7 linked regions of the Nothobranchius furzeri genome follow. The protein of the gene in region 7 binds, or shares a complex with, the protein of the main gene of each other region. Links are inferred from orthologs where the notes say so. Each region holds a gene or a part of one and is shown on either strand. Other genes may lie near its edges. The genes, in order: lsm6, snrpd3l, smx5, lsm7, sart1, lsm4 and usp39.

Region 1 (3,990 bases), on a different chromosome or scaffold from region 7:
CGAAGTTGGTTACTCGTTAGAATAATTAAAAGAATTATTTGTTTTCATACACTTTATTCATAGACTTCTTCACAACTACAAAAAAGTTTTCCATTGGTTCAATAGTTTTTGTGATGTTAACAAATGTTTGTTATAATAAGAAAATATTTCACCAGGCACATGTTTATGTTTATGTTTATGTATTTAGCAGACGCTTTTGTCCAAAGCGACTTACAAGTGATGTGTTTATAAGAATGAAAAGATGTCTTTTTTAAGTGCACATCATAGACTGTACATACTGTGCACATTTTCCCATTTCCCCAAGATTCACTGATTTCCCTCTTTCCTGTTCACTCTCTCTCTCTCTCTCTCTCTCTCTCTCTCTCTCTCTCTCTCTCTCTCTCTCTCTCTCTCTCTCTCTCTCTCTCTCTCTCTCTGTCTCCCCCTCTCCCTCCCTCTCTCTCTCTCTCTCTCTCTCTCTGTCTCCCCCTCTCCCTCTCCCTCTCTCTCTCTCTGTCTCCCTCTCTCTCTCTCTCTCTCTCTCTCTTTCTTTCTCTCTCTCTCTTTGCCTTTTTAATCACAATTGTCTATTTTTGCTTATTTTGAACATATTTTAAATCATTTTTTGAAACCTTTTTTATATTTTATATTTTTGTGAAGTGCCTTGAGATTTTTGTCTTGAGAGGAGCTACAGAAAAGATTGTTTTCTTTCTTTCTTTCTTTCTTTCTTTCTTTCTTTCTTTCTTTCTTTCTTTCTTTCTTTCTTTCTTTCTTTTAAACGTTTGAACACTTACAGATCAAGAAGAAAGAAAATGTACCTGAAATTGGAATAGGCTTATTTGTGCATATCCCACATTACATTGAGATAAATTTTGAATTTGTAAAAAGAATAGTAAAATAATACAATGAGACATTCACATGAAATATTATGTTTTTACATATTTACAGTAGTTTCTCATTTTCTGTATGAATTTGTTACATAATAGAAATATTACTAATGCTTCAGTTTATTCAAAGTATAACAATGCACAACAAAACAAAAAAACTTTAGTATATTATAATATGAAAGCCAGTGGATATAATATTAATTACAACATATTAGAAATACATTTATAGAAAATAACTTGTTAAAGGAAATGGGTATATCGTATTTTTAAAATGTACTTTTAAATATTCTTGTTTTGTCTATCGAATTAAAACTTTGCGCTTTCAGGACATTTGTCCCTACATAGTTTCCGTAGTCCTCCAATGTGATTGGTCAATGCGCCGAACATAAAATCGTTGTGAGATCGTTCATCCAGTGAGTAACTTGCTAGCTCGGTGTTCGCATCTGTAAAACTAGTAAAACATCTATTTCCTATCTTATTAGGATCTGTTATGATGTAACAATACCTGTACATTGTACTTTATTGTTAAACAATCTCCTACGCTATTAGAGGCTAACGAACTGACCCACGGAATAGCTGGTAGTTAGCACTTAGCTCGCTAGCTACATAGAAGCTCATTTGATAATTTGAACGTTTTAACCGTACATAGTTTTGCATTTAGGCGTGTACTATCTGGCTACAGCTATTCGTTTTAATATTCTCGGGTTTGAATAATGCCTTTGTTACTAGATAATCAATTATAGCTTAAATGTGTATTAGGGTAATGCTAATGCGGTTCTTTATTGTGATAAAATGAGATTTACTCATCTGTTTTATTCTTTTAGATAAAAGCGAAAATGAGTTTGAGAAAGCAGACCCCGAGTGACTTTCTGAAGCAGATAATTGGGAGACCTGTCGTGGTCAAACTGAACTCTGGTGTTGATTACAGAGGTAATGCAGCTGGCATCAGGTGTGGGAATGTTTAGGGTTCTCAGAGTTTGATTAGGTTATGAATCAGAGGGTTTGTTAAGCAGTCATTGATGCATCTTTTTACGCCTTCTGCCTCATGTTTAGTTCTAGACAATGACCCCCTGACAACTACTTTTAATTTTTAATGATCTTTTAATTCATTACAGTTAAGTTCTTTATACAGGCAGACAGGAAGTTGAATGATGTAATCCCATATAGGATTAGAAACTATGAAACAAACACTAACTGAAAAACAGTTAAATTACTGCAGTTAAACTCCAGTTAAATGCTGAGTAATTGGAATAAACTTGAAAAGTTTCGTGAGGACCAAATTTTGCTTTAATCTTCAACAAACTATTTGTGTTTGTGTTGATATTAATTCATTTACCAAGCTAAAGAGAGATTCACACAGGTTACACAGATACATGGAGGAGGAACACTTTTTGACACAACACTCCTACTCAGACATCTTTGTTACAGTTTAAAATGTTCAGTTTTTCAGTATTTGATGTATTTATTTCTTCAGTCAAGACTCAAACTCCATCCCAGTTGCACACCATAATGTGCCACACTTCTGCACTTCAGATGTCTGCCTTTTACACTCACCTAAATAATGATCATTATTAAAATCTGTTTTGATAATTTTTGAATGAATTTGTAATGGTTTATGTTTGCATCAAAATGCATAAAAAACAGTATGCCCCTCTTCCCTAGCTGGCACGTTCAGGTCTGTTGTTGTTTTATTGCCCAGGTAAGTTTATTTTTAATCTGAAGTTTGTGTTTGTCTCTGAGCAGGTGTTTTGGCCTGTCTGGATGGTTACATGAACATCGCAATAGAGCAGACGGAGGAGTATGTCAATGGACAACTCAAAAACAAGTATGGAGATGCCTTTTTGAGAGGAAATAATGGTAAGATTTGATGTTTTCACGCTGCAGGGCGTTATACAACACCGTTTTCCTCTGTTACTATAGCTCCAAGTCATATTTAATGATTAAACATTCCAGGTTATGAAGGCTGTACATTTGCCATGATCTGAGTCTTTGGTGCAGTCAACTTCCTAGCCTCATTCTTATTAGCTCACAGAGACAACATTATTACACTGTGTGCTCTAATAGATCTTTCAGTTGTTTAGGTTTTTTTTTTCAATCCAAAGTGATTAGAGATTTAAATTTGTTGACAATTTTTAAATGAAACTTTCAAAGTCATGCACCACAAGATGTTTATTTTCATTTTCTCATTAAGCATTTTTGCACCTCAAACCTATCTTTATAGGAAAACCACAAGATATTCCCTTTTAAAGTTGGGAAACTAACCATGTCGGAGTTATACAGGAAGCTCACTTCCGATGAAAACATCGAGCCCCTTTGTTGCTGCTTTGAAAAAACTGGTAAAATGCTACTATTTTACAGCATCGTTTGTTAATTAATTCATTATGTTACATTAGAAATGTACTGATTTAGCTTCTGATGGCAGAAACTGATTTGTGTTGCCTCAAAGTGATACTAATTTTGGGTGATTTTTAAATATAATATGCTGTTTGAATTTAAATATTAAATAGAATATTTTGGAAGTGTAAACTTCTACATTAATAGGGTTAATAAGTAGGGTTAGGGAATATTTTGATACCTGTGTGATTTTTGTGGTGCCTCTCTAGACTGAGCAGATACAGCTGCGACTGACTACTAGGGATGCACCGATGGATCGGCATTTGATCCCAACTGGCCGATAGCGCCCCTATCGGTTTTGATCGGAGTTTTCAAAATGGATCAAAGCAGACCGATCAGGTAGGGTTGTCACGGTAACCGGTGTAGCAGTAAACCCCGGTAAAATAAAAAAAAGTTGACAATAATAATAACCGTCCGTTTTTAAAAAAACTATATTATCTCGGTGGTTTACCGTGGCTGCGGTGTAGGCGCGGTGACCCTTACCAGCCACCGTATCATCTGTTGAAGTTGCCAGCGGCACATGCGCACTTTGTTGTTTACAACCAAAACTTTCTTGAAGCTAAAGCTGAAATAATGGCCAAAGGAGGAAACGGCAGCGCGCAGGACATTTATTATACCTCAAAGAAAACAAAGTGGGAAGTACGGGCATTTTTTGAATATTTGAAGAATGCCGAGGGACAGTTTATAGAAGACGGCTATCCTGTTTGCAGCACGTGCAGAAAAAGTGTCT
Region 2 (4,005 bases), on a different chromosome or scaffold from region 7:
ACTAGGATAAATATGCAGTAAAATGCTTTTCCGTGGGTAAATGTACAAATTTTACTTGCTAAAAGGTTACAATACACAATATAAATGAAAGAGGTGGGACTCAAAATTGAATAATACTACAAAAAAAGGGCTTCAATGGGGCAAAGCACAGCAAAGGTTCAGTCAAGAAGAGCAACACTGAGCTGAAATCTGTTTATTTCATACAAAATAAAAACAGTGATAAATTGTAGAGCAAAAGACTGCAAAGTAAACCAAAGCATAGTAAATCCAAAAGATGACATCAAACAATGAAATTTAAAACAAAATAAGTTATCGTCTCTTCTGGAAAATGTTGCCTCTCCCCATTCCACCACGACCTCGTCCTCTTGCAGCCACTGTTAAAAGTAAAAATAAAAAGTCAAACTCCAAAAAAAGGTATCTCTTTGGTCTGGAAGAAATGCCCCCCCACAAATCCCTATTTTCCCTACTCAAATATTTTGACTATGTTGGACTTCTACAAGAGAAGAAATTAGACAATACCATTAAACATTCCTTTGAAAAAGCCTTTTTTTCCCTTTATATTAGATAAAAAAGAATTGGGATCTGTCTTTCAAACCATTCCACCTCAGAAAATGTGAGAAGTGTCCACATAGAACACTGTTGTTACCTGTAAAAAAAAGTAATTAACAACTATTTAAGAGCCAAGCAGCTAAAGAGGGAACTAAACTCTAGCGCTGTCTCAGCATCTGGAGAAATTGTCCAAATGCTTCTCACTCACCTTGTGCTTTAAGAATAGCTGCCTTTCCTCTTCCTGCCCCAGAGCCTTGGTTCTTGTTCTTCATACTCTTTAACATCGGAGCATTCTTTAACATGTCCGGTAGGATCAAAAAGCGGATCTTGCTGCCGCGAATGTAGACCTGTTCCAACTGTGCAACCCGGCCATCGCGGTAGGTCACGGTGATGTTGGACATCTGTAGGGACAAATTCAAGTTTAGGTCCACAACAGGTGAAATGACCGTGTGAGCATCCATTAATCCAGTTCTGTTACTTATCTGGATCTTGGTGCACACAGGTTACCAAACTAGCATGGCTCAAATGTAAATTAACATTTCAGTTTATTCAACCCTTATAAAAATGTGTGCTGAAATAGAATCCAATTGAAGAGTGATGTTACTTTAGACTGTTTATTAAATTATGATGCAACAACAGAGTTAAATAACTGACTGAACTGGGTAAATCATGAAAGCTAAAGACCAACTTAAAATGAAAACCCAACATAAAAGCCTTTCTGATAAGAATGCTTTAATGAAACACTTTTACAAAAAAATAAAACTCTTCACACCAAGCATCCATGTACACCATTGTTTGGCCAAACGTTTTGCAATTTAGGGGAACACTAATCCCAAACACAAATTAGTTTACCAGTAATTACACAAACAAAAGCTTTTATGACTACATACCCCACAAAAAATCCACATTAACAGAACACCTTAAATGCCAAATTTACTGACCCAAGTTATTGTGAGTGCACAAAATAAAAATTAAATATTTTTTTTAATTTAACCCATTAAAAAGCTGCAAGAAAGGCAATTTGCAAGAGAAATAAAAACAAAATTTATTCAGGCAGCAGATGGGATTGAAACAAGCACTGACTGGATGTTTATGATCAACAGTATTTTGAAGGCTTTTCATTGACACTTTTCTTGACAATTAAAAATCACTGGAACCCTTTTAAACCATACTGCTAAACAAACCAACCTGGCAGTTCATATTGTCCTCTGCTTCTATCAGCTTGCCCCTGTACACCTCTCCAGTGTTGGTCTCACAGGTCACAATGTGACCCTCTGCCTCATGCAGGACCTTGATTGGTACACCGATGGACATGTTTCAAAGCTTTTCCTGGAACACAACACACAAAGCAAAAGATTATACGTGCTCACCCACAGAAATGTCTGCTCTTAAATATTGGCAACCCAAATCCATTTAACTTTATTGGTTAGCCGGGTTGCCCAGTTTCCAGCACTGAAATCTACAATCTGCATTACAACTAGTAGGAGAAGCAACAGAATAAGGCGAGTGAACTTTTTCATGACTGTGGATTAATACTAGTCACTGAAATTAAGACAAATAAGGAAAGACGCCCTGGGAAAACAGGTTTTGTGCAAAAAGCCATAACAAAAGAAGTGTTGTGAACCCGAACGCTACATTAATTGAAACTTTCATGTGGGACATAGTATTTAGACTTAACTAAAATGAAGGTGTTTTTATTATTTAGCATGAATTTACGCAGTAATACACTTTATAACATTACTAGAGAATAAACGATTTCGCTTGGGTATTCTCTTTTTTTAAGAGTCTGGTGGAGAATGTTTGATAGCATTCTAACCGCTAGCTCAGTTAGCCATACTAGCTAGCAAGGCTACAGGACAAATTTATCTAGAAACTACCATTAAACAATTCCAAACAGTAAATATGATTGGCCGTAAATGCTATTTACAGTTTACTACGATTAATAAGCATAGTTAAATACCTAAATATTTTACAGTAACATACGGAGTTTTGAAAATGCGCGTAACCTTAGCCATGCTACACATGAACGAAATAAATCGAAATTTCTAAATAACGAAAACCAATAGAAGAATGAGAACTCCGTTTCCTCAAACTAATTAATGTTACTCCTGTAACTTACCTTGACTTGTTCGTAAGAGTTATTTGCTTTATTGTTATTTCTTCTTGAACTGCAACGTGCGTTTGACGCTTTCGGGATCCTTTTGAGCCTTTTTTTCCGCCTGCAACGAAGGGTCACAACGAGTGTTTCCGGTGGCACCTACCGCGATGCATTGTGGGACACGTAGTTCAATAACGCCCATGGTTGAGGACTATTGAGTATGTACAGTCTATGGGACTATTATTTAGTGAAACTGACAAACTCAGCTTCTTATGTAGAATTATTTTTTTTATAAAGACTGAAACACATAAAATTAAATAAAATAAAAACTAAAATTATAAGAAACTATTTACATTTTAATCACGTTTCCTTAATTTATAATCTGTTTTTTACTTGTATTTGTTTTTAATTTTTTATGCTTGAGAAGCACCTCGCGATTTTTATCTTGGGGGCGCTATATAAAAGATTGTTTCATTCTTTCTTCTATAAATGTTGAGTTATGATGGAAATGAAAATTGATTTTCATTCTCCACAAGTAGAACATTGCATTTCTAAGAGGACTGAATATGTGTTTACGTACATCTGACTAAAGTTTAATGAATAAACTTGATTTCCATGATTTTGAAGGAAATCAGCTGTTGACTACATTTTCTGCATCGTCTAATGACGATGGGCAATTTATGCAGCTACACCAGACACTGAACTGTATTGTTTTAAAAAGCAAATGTTGATCCAGTAGCAGGATTGATTTGCATTTTCTTTCAGAAAAATAGAACAGTTTTGCATTACTTGTCATCTTGGCTCCAAGTTGACATTTACAGCTTTACATGGCTTTTCATAAAGCAGCTCAGTGTTAGGTACTTTTTAAATTCCCATGGAACATTGATCCATCATTGAATCACCCACAACAGTATTTTTATGATCTGTATCTCATGCAAATCAAAACAGCATTAGACATAAAAACAAAACATTAAAATGAACTAATTTTATCTATTTTTACAACACTGAGTATGGCCACAGTGTACTGCACAAATGATATGCAAAGAACTAGAATAAACATAAAGTACACATAATATACATACCCGTGTATGTTTGTTCCAGGAGATGTGTCTCGGGGATTGCTACGGGACACATAAAAGTGGCCTAATGCAGGTCTGTCCCACATTGAAAGAGCTTTTTAATGGGGAAAGAGAAGGCATAATGGGATAATAAAAGACATCATCAAATGAATCTTCATTTGATTTCCATTGCATTTGGCTCATTGACTGGCGTCAGCAGCCATGGCTGATCTGTAAACACCTTTCAGTGAGTAGTTTGTGGTTGGGCACTTTACGTGTGTGTGTGTGTGTGTGTGTGTG
Region 3 (4,210 bases), on a different chromosome or scaffold from region 7:
CAATAACAGGCAAGGAGAAAGACAGCTGCAGGTATCCACAAGGTCTGTTCTGTTCCGTTTACATTGGCTACGGGGGTTTCAAAGGAAATGATGTACGTCTATCTGAACGTGACTTACTTAGAACGTTTTGGGATGTTTGACACCGCCTCTGTGTTCGGCTTCCTGTCCGGCCGGTTTGATGGTTTTGGAAGGGTAGCACATAAACAAATAGCGTAACGATGGCGTACACTTTTGCCACTTACACACTAGCCGCCGGTAGAAAGGAACCTATTCGCTATAACGGTGGCTAATTTCAGCGAGGTAAGTTTAGCGTCCATTTCATGACGCTTTCACGTTCGGTGGAAAGCTCATTCAGTCTAACCCTTGTGGTAAAGGTGAGTCCTCGGAACGTCCGAGTAAACGTATTAACTAAAAGCATCTTTGCTGCAGAGAGTGTTAATAAAACACAACCGTTTGTGGGCTACAAATCCACAGGTTTGTGAGTTAATCTAGACTATTTAAAAATCACTTTTCCTTGAGTTTTTATGACTTCAGGTAAAAATAAAACTAGTTTGTCAAGATTTGATACATTTTTAAGGAGATACCCATGAGCAAGCCAAGTTGTGAGTAAGTATGGTTGAAATAAATTTCTAGTTAAAAACCCATTTACTTTCAGTTGTAGGGCTGAGATTTTTTAAATGTGGATATAATTTCAAACAAGAAACCTGATGACTCAATATCTTTACATCAATATAAATATAAAAACAGTGAATTTCTAGCATTAGCAGGTGCAGCTATTGCTATCCACTAGCTTGTTCTGTCTCTATGCGATCATTACATGTATTCTCACGTGTCTGCTCGATCAGGAAACCTCTAGGTCAATTTTCTGCCCTAAACTTTGCATTTGGATTAGTGGTTTTTAATTATTTGGGGACATTTGTTCGTGTTTTAGTGAGCCTTTTCACTACGGATGTGTATTGGTGAAATTGTGGCGATACGATACGTATCACGATACAGGGAAGACGATACGATATATCACGATATATTGCGATACATTCAGCCAGACGATATCAGCGATTTTTTAGACTGAATTTATTGTAGAAAATTTCAATAAACAGTCCAAACTGATACTTAACATGTTAAACATGAGGTATCTGAACCATAATAGAGGGATTTATATTTCAGTGGTGGAAACAAAACCCAATGCACACTGCTGCTAGCTAGCGGTCAGTGTTTGAATTGCACCAAAAGAAAAGAAAATACACAAATGTTTGCATGTAAACTATTCCAAAAAGTTCAACACATGGCTTTTGGATATCAATATAATATTGCAGGAAAAAACATCACGATATATTGCCATATCGATATTGTCTTACATCGCTACTTTTCACCGTGGCTGCTGACGGAGATTTATTTATCCTGCTGGTGCTGAGAGACGGGTCAAACCAGCGGCATAAATATCTAAACCTACATGTGTGTTAGCATACAGCTGTACAAGTGTTTCTACAGCTCAAACTGATAGAGAATGGCACTTAGGTTGATGTTTGACAAGAATCTGATTAAATTGTGCATTTAATCTGCTGATGAATTTATGATTACACTTTCTGTAGACAGCTTGAAGGGAGTTAACTTGCAAATATTTACAGAAGAAAAAATATGGAGGTATAATATTGTAAAATTGGAATTCTGCAAAAGGACACTGACAAATAAGTTTTCATCCAGCCCTATTAAGTTGTATTTTTATTTTCTGAGGACTAGAGGTAAGGCTTTAGTACTCGACCTGAAAACAAAACAAAAATCTGTCGCATCTTTGGTTTAAGTGAATAATCACACCTTTTTACCAATTAGAGGGCTGAGTTTGTGTTTGTTAACCCTGCTGTGAATGTGGAAAACACTCGTAGTGAGATTAGCCTCAGATTTCTACAGACATCTGAAGCAACGTGACCTTAGGACCGATGTGTCTCAAGTATGCTACTTACCATGTGTGGATATTTCTCTGGATCCGTCACACTGATGTCTGTCAACTTTATGTTCAGGTACTAAAAACCAAAAAGAGTAGGAATGTAAATGTCAAAAAACTGCAGAAGTTTGTCTGAAAGAGTTTCAAAAAGTGTATTTTCAATACCTGGTCAACAGAATGAAGCGTTCCGCAGATGCTGAAAACAGATGTGTGGATAAATATTCAAGAAAACAAACATTTGGACACTTTTGAATAGGCTACATGGCTCGTTTAGCTCGGTTGCCTTAATTTCCGAGTCAGACTCGTGTAGAAACGTCGCAGTACTAATAAGCTACAAGTCCATTGGAATATACAAAGAAATAGCTCAAGCTTTAGCAGAAGTTCATTCAAAGCTTCGCGTTTAGAGACCACTTGTTTCCAACGTGGTGCTACAGTGGGTCGAATTGCTAGCGTTCTTTCCTGCAAATGAACAACAGCTTCAACGATTTATCACAGCAGTGGAGGCCAAGCCGTAAAACACTAACCTCAGATCGTTCTTGAGCTCCACCACTACGTCCTTCCCAACCAGAGACTTGAAAAACGAGTAGAAAAGCTGCGGAGCACAACGACATGCTAACGTTAGCGTGTAGCTGCACGCTACACGTCGAGCACGACAGTTTATGAACAAAGAGAGAATGGAAACACTAACAGTTACACAAAGACTAAGGTAACGACTTATTTAACTGTCATGTGTTTGGTGTCATGCTAAATACATTTTGAATATTGAACGAGGTTAGCTCACCATTTTTGCGGTAGCTTTGTTCAGTAGTCGCGTCCGCTTTTGATGACGTATCAGGGAGCGCTGCAAATACAGACAACTACCACCAGGGGGAGCCAGAGGTCTTCAACATATTCAGCTTGAATCGTATCCATTTCTTTGACATGTTTTGCTCATAATTAATCAACATTGTGTTTTTTTACACACTTAAGTGTGATTACAGCATCTAATTTGCCTCTGAAAAATTAAATCTGCCTTAATATCACTTTGCGTAACAAACCCTAATAGTCCACGTCCCTACACACACACACACACACACACACACACACACAGAGAGAGAGAGAGAGAGAGAGAGAGAGATATGTTAAAATAAAGAAAATCTCACTCTGAGACTTTTAAAGAAGTCGGCAGCCCTGGTAAATAGGATAAACCTATGTGTGCCTTACCTACGTATGAAATATATGTAAATGGCCCTATTTTGCCCAGCTGTGTGCAGCAGGTATGTTTTTCTTCTAGAATAATGAAAACTGGTGAAAAATAGGTCTAAATCCTAATCAGCGTTGATTTAAATTGTGATTAGATGACACACATTTAAACAGATGATGACAGATGTGCTCAAACTTGTAAACAGCCTTAACCCATTAAAGCAAGGACATAAGATAGTCTAATAATTAGGTGATAAGATAAACCCAGCAGAGAAAAGAAGTCAGTCTAACAGTGGGATAAAATGCAACAAGATTTATGACAAGCTCACATTTGGCGTTTGTCTGCTTCTTTTATTAAAATAAATAAATGAATAAAAAACGGAAACTGGTATGGTGCAAAACAGGACAGAATGGTTGGTATAGAGATGAGTTCCCTTGTTTTATCTATTTGTTTCTACTTCAATGTTTTACCCCCTTTGCACTATTTTAATTGCTTTTATTTTCTATTTATTCATTGTGATTTATGTTTCTTATGTACTGTGTACAGCACCTTGGGCTCCCTGACAAGGTCGCGGAAGGCACTTTATAAACAAAGCTTTGAGTTGAATTGAATTCACATTTTCTTCAAAAAACTCAAGGTCCGGCTGTAAACATAAAAACTCTGCAGCAAGGGAAGACGGTTTCCTCTTATATGAAAAAGCCAGTCGTAGGAGAATTGATCCCTGGTGGGTACCACATAATTCAGTCGGTGCCTTAAAAAGTACCACATCTGGAATCCATCCCTACTCCTTATACTGGTCACCCTGGTGTGGGAAGGCTTCCAGTCTCAAACCAGTCATCCATGCTGATTGCCTTGGTCCCTCAGGTTCAAGCAGGTATAGTCCCATCAGTGTCTCTGCTCTCCAGTCCCATCTGTCGGTGGTCTCTGATGAACTGGTTTTGGCCCAGACTGTGTGCAGAATCTCACCATGATCTTTCTAGAGGAGTTCACTGGTTCTCAAAATTTCTGCTAGCGCTTTGAAACCTATTTTTTATTTAAAATAAGGTCAAACCAGGGCTGAAAGTTTAACGATTAAATATGTTTTATTT
Region 4 (4,095 bases), on a different chromosome or scaffold from region 7:
CACTATTCTAACCTACTTTTAGGAGGTTTCACATCCAGTTAAGTAAAAATTTTGCCATTTTAAAAAACAGCTTCAGTTATCTCACTTAAAACTCATCAGCATTTTGTTTCTGCGTTTCTCCAACGCCAAAATCTACTGAAGATCCTTTCTTTCAAAAGGAACAATCCATAGATATCATTACTTTACACCCCCACCCCAGCTTAATGCATTACTGACTTAAAAGCTGTTAATGCCACATATGTGTCTTTGTGAGTGTGCAGACAAGCTTGAACGGTTTATCTTCAAACACAGAAACTCCCTTTAAACCTAAACACACTCATCTTTTTTTTTACTGCAGAGTTCAGTAGTCTGTAGACCCATCGAGTCAGTCACAACCAGCAGGTAGGGGACGTCTGTCGGGTCAACAAAACCACTCAGATCCTTGTCACCCTTTCGAATAGACCATATCTGGTGTAACTTTCCAACACGTCCTCTGTGTTCAAAGGAGAAAAACATTCAGATTCAGCTTTTTTTCCACTTTATTTTCTTATCAAAAACAAAGAATAGTAAAAAGTTCACTCAGATAACAAGAAATTTGTTTTAACACTTTCAGAACTGGGAGCTCCTCACAACACAAAAATGAGCAAAATTAGCAGGGAAATAAAACTGAAGTGCAACGGAGCCTTATTTTACCAGTGATGAACTTAAAACATGTTTGTCGTCTGAATGACAAGTGTCCTGTAATGTTAAAAAAGAAAAGTCTAATCAAAAGTGTGCCACGCAGCAGCATGGGGGTTATCCATCTTGCTGCTGGATGAATGGGTTAGGAATGGCCTCCATGCCATCCTGAGGACAGATCAGCACCACAGAGGTTCCTCTGCAGACCACCAGCCCCAGCTGTCGGGTGTCTTCTGTCAGCTTCAGCTGGTCGTCTGGATCTGCACACAAAGCCACAGAACGTTCACACTGGAAATGTCAAGCAGCTGGGTGTCCACCAAGCATTTTACCGGAATGCACTCAAAACTAAAACATGAATGGTGAGACCTTTGATTTTTTTGTTTTGACCATCTTCAGTTCAGATGTATTTTTCAAAGATGTTAAGTCCACACAAGACGACCACTTGTAACAGCGATAAAAAACCAACAACATTTGATTTGTTATCACTGTTAAAAATCTGCTTCGACCACTAAAGAACAAACCTCAAACTGAAAAAAGCCACTCATCTTTTGTTTGGGGATTTTTAAATCAATTTAATTTCCCCCCACATGTTTCTGGTTTTTGTTCCACCCGAGTGGCCTCCATGACTCCTCTGAATATTAGCTCAACCCTCCCCTCCAAACACTAAACTGAGAATTAGAAACTTGAGCATTTTTCCAGTGTTTGTTCAAACTAGCATCACATTTTCAACAAATCCACAGTGATGGTAGAGGAGATAGGTGGAGTAACCTTACAGGGTAAGAGCACAAAAAACACAACCAGCTACTTACCTTTACCTGGAAACAACACACTGTTCCAGTAGAGAGGTGTCTACACAATGTTTTCTGTTTGTTTGTACAAAAAGAAAACAATTCCACAGATGCTTTTACACACAGACTTTCTTAATTTTATGAAACTGAAAAATTAATCTTACATACAAGGGCGTGATTTGAAAATTTGGAAACCTTTTTTCAATTTGAAGCCCAGAAAATCTCTCGGATTATTTGATGTTTTAGAATGAATTATTTAGAGCCTGTGAATTTTCTTCTTTTAAACATAGCAGCAACATGTTTTTGTCTACATGTAATTATATGTAATGTTCGTCCACTGAAGATAATCTAAAATTATGTTGCTTTTATTGTCAAACAAGATTAGCACGCACGCACGCACACACACACGTATTCCTGATAATTTACTGAAAAACAAATTAACTCAAAAAAGTGAAGTAGAAAAATGTCTCTTAAACATGCTCTGAACATGAACATAATGTTTTGATCAACATGCTTATTTTCACTAACTGTAGATCGTTTTAAAGATGACGGTAGGGGCGAAATTAATGCGAATTATTACTTTATAGTTATGTGTGTTGGGGAACTTCGGAATGTGTTCAGGAAAAGTCCTTCATCGATATAAACATGGACTCAGACTGAGGAGCAGTTTTCTGGCTGGATTTGAGTTTTGGTTTTCTTACCACGCATGTATTCGATCGTGCCGTCCAGCACCAGGTTCAACAGAGGATCAAATCCTTTCAAAACGCCGCTTGCTGAGAAGAAAACACAAATTTTAGGCTTCCACATAAGGAAATCTAGACATTTACTGCTTGCACGAAATGAAAGGGTTAGCAACAGCTTGGTCCACCCACCCTCTCGTCCACCTTGAAACTTCACCCGAATCGTCTTGTCGATATACTTGGACAAGTCGAAGATGCTCTCCTTCTTTTTCTTTTCTTTATCCTGCAGAAAGGCCAGGTTACATTGTCTTAAGTCACTAATTAATCACAAACAAAACGTAGCCTTAGCTTAGCTCACTACTAGCCACGTTATTTAAGTAAAACGTCTACCGTCACAGCAAAATAAAAGTTGTTCAAGTCGACTTTTGTTCAGAAAACAAAGCTAAATCTTAACAATACAAATGTGGATGTGAAAAGATAAAAAGTAACACAATATAATGAAAGCCATGGATTACGAACTCACCGCCATATTTACTGTCTGACCCGGAAGTAAATCTTAGACCCTAGGAAATGATAGTGATCCAATGAGATAACGCGTTCAGAGGGTTCAGAGAGGTCCAGCTGTAGACCATAAAAAGTAAAATGAAACAATATTGATTTTTGTAAAAGTCTCGGGACTACCATCTCTACTAAAACGTAATGAGTTAAATACACACTCATGTGATTGTCTTAATACGCTGTCAGGCTGGGAAAAACGTTCATCTTTCTCAGCTGCATTGTGCGTTAGCTAATAGCTACAGGCTACAATCTCAGAAGAAATCTACGCCCTCCAGTGGGGATAAACTGCAACTACAATCAGGTTCTAAGAAGCTAGAAGGGAACGTTCTAGTCTCATGGCAATGAAACTGGGGGGGGGGGGGGGGGGGGATCATAATCTGTATTTTTGTTTCTTTTGGTTGATGGAGATGGAGAAGAGAAAACTGCCTGTAAATTCTTTCTAAATAAAACGCTATAACACTTTTGTTATCAGCGAGTGGGAAACTCGCTCTAACAGCCTTTTTCGTTTATTATTTAGCTAAATTCACAATCAAAACAGTATGTAACAGTGTTAAAAACTATGCTAATACTGAGTTCACAACTAAAGACAGTTGGGGTTGCCGATCAGCTTGTATGTTTTTGGTCTGCTGGAGGAGCATGTACCCAGAGCAAACCCACACATGCATGGAGAGAATGAAAGGCCGTAGCCAAGGTTTAAACCTATGACATTGTTCCTGTGAGTCACCAGTGCTTCCAACTGCCCCACAATGAAACCCTTTTTAAAATAAAATGTATACAGATGAAACTCAAAAAATTTGAACATGGTTCAAAAGTTTATTGATTTCAGTATAAAAACCTAAAAGGTGAAACAAATTCATGAGATAAACTCATTCTATGCAAAACCAGATATTTCCATCATTTATTTGTTATAAGTGTGATGATTATGGCTTACAGCTTACGAAAACATCTAAAACTAAATATCTCAGACAAACAGAACGTGCGAGAAGGTTCAATACTCTAGACTCAAAGTGTCGCACTCTAACCAGCTAATTAATCAAAAACATCTGCAAAGGGTTCCCGAGCCTTTAGATGGTCTCTCAGTCTAAGATGGATTATTGAAATAAGTGAACTTTTGCACCATATTCTAATTTTTTGAGTTTCAGTATTGTTATTGGGAAAAAAATCAATAACCAATAAAGGCTCTCAGCATGGAGCTTGCTCCAGTCATTGACATGAACAAGCCAGCACACTGAATTAGCTTGGTCATGACCCACACATGACTACTATTAATAAACCCTGACTGTGTACCAGTTGGTGGGTTGCAAACCACAAGTAGGTCAAGATATTTTGGTGAGGCTGTTTGCAATGACACCGCCTGCAGAGGGGACTTCTACGTGAGCTACAACAAAACAGACATGGATGAATCTGTTTTA
Region 5 (4,247 bases), on a different chromosome or scaffold from region 7:
TTTAAATTATTGTTCTTTTAGGAAATTCACAAGACAAATGAAATAGTTTACACCTGTACTGATTTTCTTATACTATTGTTATATCAACACTGAAGCAAGACCATAAACTAGCAATAATCTCAAAAGAGCTACAACAATAATCATTTTCCCCTACATATTTATTTAGTGATGGTGTTTGCATTCATGCTCTTCCCACTGCCACTGAGGACGATGTACGGCGTTTTCTGAGATTTCTGTTTCTCTTGAAGCAAAGCCACCGTCCCCAGAGGTGTATCGCTGCTGCTCATCTTCTTCAGCAGCGCTTCCTCCTCCAGCTTTTTCATCCTCCTTTCAGTTTTCATCTTTCCAGAACCTTTGCCGTGGAAACGATGCGAAAGCTGCCTGAATGCCTCTTTTGGGGTGAGTCTGCGCCCAGACTCATCCACATACTCAATTTTGACGTCGGGTTTATATCCATCCTTTTCCTTGAAATCCTGCGTGAAGCCTCTGTATTCTTCCCGGCGACTGTACTTATCATCAAAGCCCATCTTGTCCTCGATGCAGTAGTTGTCATTAGGCAGGGACCCCTTTGTTGCTTTGACACGAGCCACCTTTTGCATTTGCGTGTCCAGCAGCCCTTTATTTTTGCACAGCAGTAAAGCAGCAGCAAGGCCAGAGTTCACGATGGGTTCCTCATCCAGGATAGTGGCAGAGGCTGTGGAAAATTCAGCATGATTTTGCTCCTCATCCAGGTTAACTGTGCTCCACCCAATATTTTCATCCATTTCGGAGTCTGAATCTCCAGCATCATCTTTCTCTTCTTCCTGTTCAAAGTCCATGATATCCTCCTGGTCTTCCCTGTTTCCAGACAGTCCATACGTTGGAATATCACCCAGAGTTCTGCAGAACTCAGAGGTGGCATTGAAGACAATGTTATTCCTCTTGTCAGGATCATTTTCGTCACCGCCTTTAACAAACCGTCTGATCTGCTCTGCCACCTTCTCCCCGGAGTCTTTGAGAAGCTGCTTCTGCCTCAGCTTCCTCTGTTTCTCCAGTTGTTTCTGCAGCTCCTGCTCTGCCTCATCCTCCTCAATTACAGCTGGCTCAGGAGGCGTGAAGTTTTCTTCATCACTCATTTCCATTTCTGCCGTCCTGATGTCATCAGACATTTGGGGGATTTCATGTGGCCAACGCTCGCCCTTGCCTGTATTCTCCTCTTCGTTGTCCTGTTTGCGGCCCCGACCTCGTGCTCGGGAGCCAAAGTCAGAGCTGCGAGTGTCATCAAGGAGCTCATCTGCAATTGTCTGCTTCTCCTTCTTCCTGATTTTCTTCACACGGCGTTTTGTCTTTTTAAAGCCAACCATTTCCTGAGGCGTGTAATACTCCGAAGCGATAGCAAGAGCAGGCATTTCCAAAGACTGGGCCTGGTTTTGCAGCGTTTCTTTCATAGCCTGCAGCTCCCGTTCTCGCTCCCCATCAGCAAATCCCCATGTGCTCAAACGAAAGCTCTTTTTCTTTTCACCTTCAATTTCTTCATCGTATTTTGAAAGTACAGTGCGGGGCTTAAAGGTGACCATGTCATCCACACTCTCCTCTTCTTCGTAGGGCTTGTAGTCAGGCTTTTTCTTTTTCAACTCCACATTCTTTTCTGCTTTTTCCTTGTCCACCAGTCCCACGTTCACAAGCACATCCTCCTCTTCTTCCAGGACACCTTTGTCTTGCAGGGTCAGAATGACAGTGTGGCCCTCCTTGAAGGAATCAACCTTGTGCTGCACTTTGAGGCCTTTGAGATCCCGTGAAGAATAAGAATCCAATTTACTTTGAGCAAACTCCTCTTCAACCAGATTGCTGACACCAAACTCCTCATCCATCTCTTCCAGAAGTTTGGCTCTTTTCTCTGCCATTTCTTTCTCTTGTGCCAGCTTTCTGCTTCTTTCAATCCAAGCGGCTGTGTCATCGAGCCAATCATCATCTGCAAGGTTTTTGACTTTGCCCAGTTTCTGATTGAGGAGACGTTTTTCTTTCATAGCTGCAAGCTTCTCCCTCATCTCTTTCTGCTGCTGGATGAGAACAGGGTTGATGGTCTCAGCCACCAGTGGCTCCTCTTTGGTTCCAAGTTCTTTCTTGTTCTCATTGAGTTCCAGAGGCTTTAAACCCAGCTTGGCTCGGAGTTTGTTCGTTTCCTCGACGCTGAGGGAAGCATCTCCACTTGCACTCTGAGGCTGTATTTCTGCACTGCCTTCCTCATAGCCAGGATCCAATTTCTCCCTCTTTATACGAGTCTCGCCACTGCTTTTTTCCCCTTTGCTGCGACTATCCCGTCTGCTCCTTTCCCTGGACCTGGAGCGTTTTCGTTTTTCTCGAGTTCCATCCCGATCTGAGGCATCTCTGTCTCTCTCTCGTTCTTTGTGCCGATGCTTCTTATGTTCACGACGGCGCTCTTCTGCGTCCTTATCGCGACTCTTTTCCTTGTGTTTCTTTGAAGAACCCATGATTTCGTCCGCTGTTTACAACTCCAGAGTCGTAGTTCCGTCACAGTCAAGCTGCGTACGCAGTCTCTTCAGCTGTATTGATGTGGTAAATGTCGCGAACTTTTCTCCCAACTAGGTCGAGTTAGCTTCAAAAGCTAAAGGGTTAGCCACGTCAAAACTCACTCATTTCGGGGAAAACTGCATCATATTTTCGATATCCAGCATCGGTGGAAAATACGTGGAGTTTCGTTGGTTTGTTTATTTGTAGCACCTCGCACCAGCATAAATACTAACAACCACGTTTTAAGTTTGCTACTTCGACGAAACGAACATACAACGACAACGAATTCGTTTCCGGAAGTCAAGTGGTAGAAAAAACTTTGCTCGCCCTGGTTGTATATCGCCCCCTGCTGGCTGGGGCTTTAACAACCGGACATTAACTGACAAACAAACGCTTTTAAATGTTTTAGGAAAATTGTTTGATACTTTACAAAAAGTACACGAAGTGCAACACAGCGATTTACTATCTCCTCTATTTTGGCGCAGTTCCTTTACTTTAGCTTGTTAGCTTAGCAAAGGTTGCAGCCTGCAACCTGCTGTATTTAGCAAGCCGTGATAGCATTTAATGAAGCAAAACATTTCCATTCACTTAAAATTTTAGATAAAGTTATAATAATTCCCATTATCAAAATGTATTTCTTACTTATCGTAACTGAAATAATATCTAGAAGTGCATTCTGATCAGTAAAAACACATTTTAATACTGTAATTGATATTTCAATTGGAAACCCCCAGGTTTAGAGTATTTAAAAATGCTTTTGATTCCAAACGGTCATTTGAACATTTAATGGCTGGGATGTTTATCACTTTCAGATATACATCAAAATTAATTCTTCTCAGACAAAGAGAAAAAGTCAGATGTCTAGCAATGGTTTCTGTCTACCAACAACAGCATTAAGGATTTTTTCAAATTACATTTTTCTACTTCAGCTTTTGCATTTATCTGTATTGAGCTCCAGATATCAAAAAGGGCATTGTGCTAATGTATTTGGCAGATGCTTTTGTCCAAAACGATCTATAAACAAGGATGTAACAGTACTTGCATCTGATTCTAACGATAAACTGATTAGAGGAAAGAACACTAGGCTCCGACAGAGGAGTATGCGAAAATAGTGTAGAAATGAATCAGAGTGCAACATAGATGGAAGTGCACAAAGAGATGCAGTGGAATAGAGGAAGGGATGGGTGGATCCTAGGGTAGGAGTAGGTGTAACATTATGGATATCATATCAGTTCACATGTTAATTTCACTCATTTTTATACATACTACATTTTAAATTTTACTTGAATCTGTTATGCTTTGGCTGCATGTTGGCACAGTGGTAGTGCTGTTGCCTTGCTGTATTTCAATAAATAAAGTTTGAATCAAATGCTATTTCATCAAGTTCTTAATAGATATTTTAATTATCTTTCAAAATATTTGTAATTGCATTTGTTGCGAGTTTCTCAATAGATCTATACACGAGTTTACCACTATTCTTTATTTTGTGTATTAAAAAAACCTTTGAATATGTCACCTAGGATAATAGATACGTGAATTGCGTGTTTCCCTCAGTAAGAATCGTCAGATCATGCCAGGATAAGAAAGAATAGAAGAAATTGTTACCTGGATGGCTGAAATGTCTTTTAGCACGAAACCCCCCACGATGGATTGAGCCCAAGTAATAAATGACAAATCGGCTTGCTTGTAACAGCATCGTGCTGCTTCTGTTAGCCATTTGGGTCCAGGCAGTTAGC
Region 6 (4,129 bases), on a different chromosome or scaffold from region 7:
ATGGAAATCTCTCCATAGACCCAATGTGAAGAACTGGATGAAACAGATGTTACAGGTAATGCCGCTGGAATGGATTACTTATATCTTAAAAGCCAAGCAACACTTATTTGACAAAATATGGACACCTTTTCTAACATATATTAAGAAGATGGACATAAAAATCTGAGGACTTATAAAGTGGGAGAGTATAGGAAAATACTCGGTCTTCTGACCAGCATTAAGACTGGAATGGGAGAAGCAAAAGCGAGGTGTAATTCGGGGACTTCTTGCTCACAGTTTTGTTAAACATGTCTATGTGCATATTGCCTTCAGTACTATATATGCTCTTACGTTGGAGAGGATCGCCAAAAGCCGAAGCACAACCAAAATTGTTATATTGTTCTACTGTTCTGTTGTTCCCTGATGATTTTATACAGAATGTACTTTCAATATACAACATAATACTGTGTAAAAGGTGTACACAGAAAATTTAATAAAATATACTTTTTGAAAAAAAAATGTAGTCAAAGATCCATCAGATTGATATTTCATATTTCTATGGAATCTCACATTTTATGGTTCATAAGTAAGATGGAAACGACTCATTCTTTACAAGTGCACAAATAACTCAGATTATAAACTTTACAACATTAACAAAATATAGCACCAAGGATCTGTGCAGGACAACCTGCCAAGAATGTGCATTGTTAGTTATAGACGTTATGGTGCATTTAATCTTTAACTGACACCTCTAATGGTTTATTACTCTTAACATTTAGTATAATGGGGCAATTTCAAAATTTACCACTTTGCAATGGCCATGTCCTCCCATTTGAAGATGTTTGTCTTTTTATGCAAAATTCACTCTTGAAGACAAATAATTTGATATAATTTTTATGAAAGCTATGGCTTTAGTAAGACTGCTGCAGCCTTTTACTGCGGTCAGGCCTATACAATTAACAGCATCACATAATATCTTCACCAATAAATAAATTATGAAGTATCAACAAAAAATTTTTTACTTATTGAGCTCATTTATTCTCATCACGTTCTAACTGATTAAAATATGGAGTGTGTTCATAATTATGTGTTATAAATTACTGTAAAAAAGCTTTTCTGATCAAAGTGACTTACCAATGAAACTTTAGCACTGTTTATATTTTCTGCTGGTTTCAAACTACTCCTTCGGAAGACTCTTGTTTGTTCTCATAATTAAGAAAATGATCTATTCAGACACTTTTAAGTTTAAACAGTGGTCTCAGTGTGGCCACAAAATAAAACGCGCGGAGAGAAAGTGCAGGTTTCGACGCTAGGGGGCAGTGTGCTGTGGTGAAGCCGCCGTTTGTAGTAGAATAAGAAAACGCAGAAGGCTAAAAGGAAATCCTTTCCCCAGGCTGGATTCGACCGCCAGAAGAAGAAGAAAGCTGGATTCGACCATTCGCCACAGCCTTAGGTTCGCCGCGTAAAACAAGCTATAAACCGTCATAATGGTGAGTATCTAACCTCTAGTTGTGGGTAGTTGAGAATGTATTCTTTAATAGGTCATCTTTGGTTCGGCTGACGGAAACCGTGTTAACATTTTTAATAAATTATACCGAAGTGAAAGCTTTAAGATGCTAAGCATGTAGCTAAAATAAACCGTAACATTTAGCTTTATTCAGGAGCCAGTAGACCTACCACAACTTCAGAAGTGTTGTTGTGTTATAAACGTGTTTAAATGACCTGATTTAATTCTGTAGTTTTATGGGTTCGGGGTGAATTACTCTATATTCTCATAAGAACAGCAAAAATTACCTTGTTCCTCACACTGGATGCCAAATGTATACGTTTGGGTGTAAAAACTAGATTTTAAAAAGTTAAAGAAGCATGCAAAATACAGTAAATTAATCAAAATATGAACTGCAAAGAAACTATGCAGAGTTGTTGCACACATTTGTGCAAGTAATGTCCCACATTAGCTGGAACGTGTATCAGTTAGTTAAAGGCGGATTATAATCCCAGTATCAGATAAAGGTACAAAGTAAACAGGTTAATAATCAGACTGAAATGTTAATGTACCAAGTAGAAATTAAGCGTCAGGAGCTCAGCTGTTCAGAAGTCTGGTGGCTGTGGGAAAGTGTGTGCCTCCTGTCTGAAGGTAAAACTGTTGATGTTGGTGGTGAAGAGCCTCTGATCGGGTGGTTGCTCTCCAGTAGACTCTGGATTCTTGGTTTCATGCGGTTTATTATGCGTCAGAAATAATGCTGTAAATGAGGTCTATTCTGTTAAATTAGATTTCAATCTGGTGTTTTATTTTCAGCTTCCCCTGTCACTCTTAAAGACCGCTCAGAATCATCCCATGGTGAGGCAAAACCTTGATTTTAAGTCTGATATTCTTTACAATATTGTATCCTTTAGGCTGTGTCATTAGTTATGTGAAGAAGCATCTGTTCTCTATGTAAATAATAACCTGCTTTAGTAAATTACAAGTGAAACTTAAAAAAAATACAGTATGGTGCAAAAGGTCGTTTATTTCAGTGATTGAACTAAAAAGTGAAACTAATGTATGAGATGGACTCATTACATGCAAAGCCAGATGTTTCGGCCTTTATCTGTTATATTTGTTATGATTTTGCCTTACAGCTTATCAAAACCCCACATTCAAAATATCAGACAACTAGAATATTGTGAAAAGGTTCATATTCTAGCCTCAAAGAGTCACACTCTAATTAGCTAATGATTAGAGCTAATTTTTTGTTCTTGACTTTAGTTTAGTTTGTCTGATCTGTTATTAGAACTTGCTCATTGTATGATTTTTAGCTTATAAAGCAGTGTGCTCTTTATTAGCTGGTGGAGCTGAAGAATGGAGAGACCTACAACGGTCACCTGGTCAGCTGTGACAACTGGATGAACATCAACCTGAGAGAAGTCATCTGCACATCCAGGGTGAAACATGCTTCTCCCTTTAATAAAATGTGACCTTTTGACAAAGGGAAAATACCAAAATATTTTAATTTGCTTAATGTGCTTTCATATTTGGTCTCTCATGAGACATTTGTATGTACAGTATATTTGCACAACTGTGTTGTGAAGGACAGCCTGCCTATGTGAACTGAGAAGTCTGCAGAATCCTGCACTGAAACTATCAGAACAGCTTCAGACAACAGCTGAGATACAATGATTGATTCATAGTGACTGTAAGAACAGACACAGTGCGCTAACTGGACCATCAGTGACTGTAATAATTTTTAAATTGTGCAGCTTTGTGGTGTTTTTGTACATGTAAACAAAAGAAAGATGGGTGATCACAACTAAACATGATCATTTGCCTATTATCCCCTCAGTCGGGTTTATTGTGCTAGACTTTAGGTAAATTAACATAAATGCAAAATAGAAGTGTTATTAATTGAGGAATTTAATTTAAACAGAAACTCTCACCATCTTTTTACAGGATGGAGATAAATTCTGGAGGATGCCTGAGTGCTACATCCGAGGAAGCACCATCAAATATCTGCGTATCCCAGATGAGATCATTGACATGGTGAGGGAGGAGGTGGTGTCGAAAGGACGAGGTCGCGGCGGCTCTCAGCAGAATAAACAACAGGGCAAAGGAAGAGGAGGGCCCGGCCGAGGTGAAGGATGCCGTTTGATCAGGTTGGTTTTGAACTCATGTAGAATTGATTTGTTGGACTGAACACAGCTGTTCCTGTAGGTGTGTTTGGTGGTCGTGGGAGAGGGATGTCTGGGCCTGGTCGAGGACAGCAGCAGCAGCAGGATAAGAAAGCAGGAAAACCACAGGGGATGAAAAACCAGCACTGACACACAATGATGCTTCGTTTGTTTTAAACACTTCCTGTTGAGGGACGTCTGCCTCAGTAACAATGACATCAACTCTGCTGTTTCTCTCTGTTGTGATGTTTACAACAACCGATTGTTGCCAGATAATACTTTAGTTTGATTTTTTTAAATCCTTTTTATTGGTGTAGAAAAGTCGAGGCCCAAATTTAGTTTAGTAGATATTTTAACTGGCTTTTTCCTCATTTCTGTAGTTTACTTCCAGCTTTGTTATCTGAAAGATTTTCTTTATAACCACAGCTGGTGAAGCAGTAGAGCGACAGCCAACAGGACTCACTTCCTGAATATTTCTGTTTAAACCTTTATAAGACGGCAT
Region 7 (2,794 bases):
TCTTGACAATATTTGTGAGTAAAAAAAACGTGTAGAAACAAAAACGTACGTGTGTTATTAGGGAAATAGCGGGCGAGCGGCATTGATGCAGGATTGCACATGCGCCGTGAGCGGTTCTGATCCATTTTGTGTCGCAGCTGCTCGCAGCGCCGCTTCAACAGTGCGATACCCTCACGAGGGACGAGCAAAATATTAAACACGCCAGAAGTCCGTGCGAGCTCACGATTGCTGATCGGTAGCTGGTCACATGGTGTTAATCGCCTCTCGTAACCCCCCGTACACTACACGATGCTCGGCGCAAAACTCGCCCCGATCTTGTGGATTCTCACACGAGTGGAAAATTGGCTCAAAAAAGTGAAAAAGTCGCACAGTGTATGCCCGGCTTTAGTGATGCTTCCTCTCTGATTGTGCTGCTGCTCTTCCGGCAGCTGGTGAAGAAGATCAAATACAAATAAAACCTAATTTAAAGGTTGTGTTGTTAAGCTTTCATTTACAAAGACTTTTGTCCTCAAGGTGGTTTATTTAGAAAACTCCACAAGGTGAAAAGATAAAACCACAAAAAAAGAACTTCTGCATTTCAAGGCTTTGTGTCGCTTTAAACAAAGTTCTGTTGCACTTCAGATCATTTAAAGATTTGAGTTGATTTCCAGAGTTGTGATGAAACGAAACGCCACCCAGGATGGGAAATACATTGCAGCACTTACTCCGCCGTGTGGCTGTTTGTGTCACTGCTCTCCTGTCTCTTCCAAATCTGGCAAGAAAAGGGCAACAATTAAAAAAAACACTAAGAAAATCCTTTTTAAATTATAATACCAAATAACAGCTTTTTAGGAAGTACGTACACACTAGAAGCAACTGAGTAGATGGTTTTAATCAATAACTAGATTATTTTTCCTCAGTAACAGGTTGGATAGTCAGTTATGTGGTTTGAAGCTTTATTTTATTTTAATTATATTCTGTGTAAAGTTTGTGATGATTGCACTCAGTCTACAATGTCATTGTCAATTATTTCCATTATGCTCTTTTCTCAGAATTTGACAAAACCTTTAAGCAAAGCTGAGAAAGAGAAGATTTGTGTTGTTTTCCTTTGTAAAAAACAAAACTATAGTTAGTTAAAACAACTGTCTGATGCCATACATTTAGAATTTAGAGCCAACAATGAGGCTTTTGTTTTGAAAATCCCAATACTTTGTTAAGCCTTTAACTAATTAAATTCAGGAAGTAAACAAACAGCAGATTCTTCAGATTGTAGTCAAATGTTTTCATTAAAGGAAAAAAGTAAATTCTTCGAACTCGCAGGTAAATACTAAGACTTATAGGGTAGACTTACTTGGATGTAAGCCTCTGACAGCGTGATCATCTGGGGAAGAATGTCGATGACCTGCAGGTCCTGCATCTCGTACCACTTCCCTGTCCCCTGGTCAAACAAAGCATTCAGTTATTCTGCCGTAGATCACTAAAACACAACTGAAAGCTTTTGTTACAGACAGAAAACTCATCAGAAACTCAGGCCACATTCTTTCATTACTTTGTGGCCCTGTGGCAGCCTCGCCTCGGTCAGTGCGCCCCAGGGCAGCTGTGGCTAAATCGTAGCTCATCACCATCAGTGTGTGAATGTGTGTGTGAATGGATGAATGATACACTGTAAAGAGCTTTGGAGTCCTTAATCTGAGAGGCGCTATACAAGTGCGGGTCATTTATCATTCTGAAATCTACTGTGACTCAGAGAACAGGACACAGATGCTACGTTGATCCCAGTGCACATGAAAAACTGGTCAGCTGTAGCTTACATGATGCAGGACATGTATCCTGTATGATCCCTCTGTGGGTTTCCCATCATGCACCACATTTGCAACAAGGTCATAAGTCGTATTCTTCTCTGTAGCTTGAGCTTCTTCTGTCAGATACTCAGAAAGGTCCACGTTCCTGTTGAAGCAAACAGCAAAGTTCAAAATACATTTAAACGTGTAGTTTAGCCTAAAATAATAAACAGCAGATGTAAGCTGAACTTTATAAATGTGTTTAAGCAAAAGTCTGAGTTAGGGATGGGCGATGTGGCCTAAAATCCATATCACGGCACATTGAGAAGTTAGCCTTGATAACTATAAATGGACCATAACTACATGTATGCACAAAACCAGAAGTTGTCCACTAGATGGGGCTGTTACGTGTATTACTTTGAGTCATGTTGTCATGTGATTCAAGGTGGTTCAGCTTCTTAAAAGGACTTGATTGTCTCCAACCTACACACATCTTTCCATCTTTATTACCAAATTTACTGACATGGAAACAATGATATCGGTTAGAGTTAGAAATTTCGATAACGATAAGTGTTCGATTTACTGCCCTAGTCTGAGTAAACAAAAACAACTTACGTGATCGGGAAATTGACAATTGTTGGATTTTTTTCCACAAAGAAATTGTTCTTGGTGAATCTTTTGATGCAAAAGATGAGGTACGGTGGCAGTTTGGTCAACTGGAATCTTTTGAGGAAATTCTCTTTGTAGGTTTTGTATTCCTGCAAACAGCATCACATGCACATGTGCATTAGTTCCATTTTATTTCCTGTTGAATAACATTAATGCACTTCAATACTTGAGTTGAAGAATTTACAGGCTGGTCTTCCTTTATGTTATTAATTCAGCATCAGTCAGTAAAGGGGTTAGTACCTTTTCTGTGGTGCCACTGAACTTGCCCAGGATGTTAAATAGAGGGACCTGTGGGATGATAAGTTGTTCCTTCTCATCCTTGTACAGAGGAGCTGTTGGGAGGTCAAGGGTCAGAAACAGGAAGG

Evidence for each region.
Region 1: usp39 (region 7) and lsm6 share a complex: the UniProt entries of both Homo sapiens proteins name them as parts of the U4/U6-U5 tri-snRNP complex. The link is inferred for Nothobranchius furzeri from reciprocal best matches to the Homo sapiens genes USP39 and LSM6.
Region 2: usp39 (region 7) and snrpd3l share a complex: the UniProt entries of both Homo sapiens proteins name them as parts of the U4/U6-U5 tri-snRNP complex. The link is inferred for Nothobranchius furzeri from reciprocal best matches to the Homo sapiens genes USP39 and SNRPD3.
Region 3: usp39 (region 7) and smx5 share a complex: the UniProt entries of both Homo sapiens proteins name them as parts of the U4/U6-U5 tri-snRNP complex. The link is inferred for Nothobranchius furzeri from reciprocal best matches to the Homo sapiens genes USP39 and LSM2.
Region 4: usp39 (region 7) and lsm7 share a complex: the UniProt entries of both Homo sapiens proteins name them as parts of the U4/U6-U5 tri-snRNP complex. The link is inferred for Nothobranchius furzeri from reciprocal best matches to the Homo sapiens genes USP39 and LSM7.
Region 5: usp39 (region 7) and sart1 share a complex: the UniProt entries of both Homo sapiens proteins name them as parts of the U4/U6-U5 tri-snRNP complex. The link is inferred for Nothobranchius furzeri from reciprocal best matches to the Homo sapiens genes USP39 and SART1.
Region 6: usp39 (region 7) and lsm4 share a complex: the UniProt entries of both Homo sapiens proteins name them as parts of the U4/U6-U5 tri-snRNP complex. The link is inferred for Nothobranchius furzeri from reciprocal best matches to the Homo sapiens genes USP39 and LSM4.

Annotation. Positions count from the first base shown.
Region 1 is NC_091744.1:10,586,904-10,590,893, reverse strand, and holds the start of lsm6 (U6 snRNA-associated Sm-like protein LSm6), read left to right. Parts: upstream 1-1,190; 5' UTR 1,191-1,279; exon of another isoform or gene 1,280-1,320; intron 1,321-1,340; exon of another isoform or gene 1,341-1,445; intron 1,446-1,690; 5' UTR 1,691-1,702; coding exon 1,703-1,796; intron 1,797-2,609; coding exon 2,610-2,723; intron 2,724-3,087; exon of another isoform or gene 3,088-3,202; intron 3,203-3,990. UniProt on the Homo sapiens protein: Plays a role in pre-mRNA splicing as component of the U4/U6-U5 tri-snRNP complex that is involved in spliceosome assembly, and as component of the precatalytic spliceosome (spliceosome B complex).
Region 2 is NC_091746.1:48,714,974-48,718,978, reverse strand, and holds snrpd3l (small nuclear ribonucleoprotein D3 polypeptide, like), read right to left. Parts: upstream 2,801-4,005; 5' UTR 2,669-2,800; intron 1,879-2,668; 5' UTR 1,864-1,878; coding exon 1,738-1,863; intron 951-1,737; coding exon 758-950; intron 375-757; coding exon 310-374; 3' UTR 179-309; downstream 1-178. UniProt on the Homo sapiens protein: Plays a role in pre-mRNA splicing as a core component of the spliceosomal U1, U2, U4 and U5 small nuclear ribonucleoproteins (snRNPs), the building blocks of the spliceosome.
Region 3 is NC_091756.1:60,995,362-60,999,571, reverse strand, and holds the start of smx5 (smx5), read right to left. Parts: upstream 2,801-4,210; 5' UTR 2,724-2,800; coding exon 2,721-2,723; intron 2,532-2,720; coding exon 2,464-2,531; intron 2,136-2,463; coding exon 2,105-2,135; intron 2,019-2,104; coding exon 1,959-2,018; intron 1-1,958. UniProt on the Homo sapiens protein: Plays a role in pre-mRNA splicing as component of the U4/U6-U5 tri-snRNP complex that is involved in spliceosome assembly, and as component of the precatalytic spliceosome (spliceosome B complex).
Region 4 is NC_091748.1:58,320,411-58,324,505, forward strand, and holds lsm7 (U6 snRNA-associated Sm-like protein LSm7), read right to left. Parts: upstream 2,759-4,095; 5' UTR 2,655-2,758; coding exon 2,649-2,654; intron 2,409-2,648; coding exon 2,318-2,408; intron 2,219-2,317; coding exon 2,147-2,218; intron 918-2,146; coding exon 775-917; 3' UTR 501-774; downstream 1-500. Other genes in the region: kelch-like protein 23, read left to right, coding at 4,078-4,095. UniProt on the Homo sapiens protein: Plays a role in pre-mRNA splicing as component of the U4/U6-U5 tri-snRNP complex that is involved in spliceosome assembly, and as component of the precatalytic spliceosome (spliceosome B complex).
Region 5 is NC_091744.1:19,554,456-19,558,702, reverse strand, and holds the start of sart1 (U4/U6.U5 tri-snRNP-associated protein 1), read right to left. Parts: upstream 2,801-4,247; 5' UTR 2,472-2,800; coding exon 159-2,471; 3' UTR 1-158. UniProt on the Homo sapiens protein: Plays a role in mRNA splicing as a component of the U4/U6-U5 tri-snRNP, one of the building blocks of the spliceosome. May also bind to DNA.
Region 6 is NC_091748.1:65,762,208-65,766,336, reverse strand, and holds the start of lsm4 (U6 snRNA-associated Sm-like protein LSm4), read left to right. Parts: upstream 1-1,329; 5' UTR 1,330-1,466; coding exon 1,467-1,469; intron 1,470-2,278; coding exon 2,279-2,320; intron 2,321-2,805; coding exon 2,806-2,904; intron 2,905-3,409; coding exon 3,410-3,590; intron 3,591-3,670; coding exon 3,671-3,777; 3' UTR 3,778-4,129. UniProt on the Homo sapiens protein: Plays a role in pre-mRNA splicing as component of the U4/U6-U5 tri-snRNP complex that is involved in spliceosome assembly, and as component of the precatalytic spliceosome (spliceosome B complex).
Region 7 is NC_091757.1:46,431,441-46,434,234, forward strand, and holds the end of usp39 (ubiquitin carboxyl-terminal hydrolase 39), read right to left. Parts: coding exon 2,670-2,794; intron 2,519-2,669; coding exon 2,376-2,518; intron 1,927-2,375; coding exon 1,791-1,926; intron 1,418-1,790; coding exon 1,331-1,417; intron 752-1,330; coding exon 701-751; 3' UTR 501-700; downstream 1-500.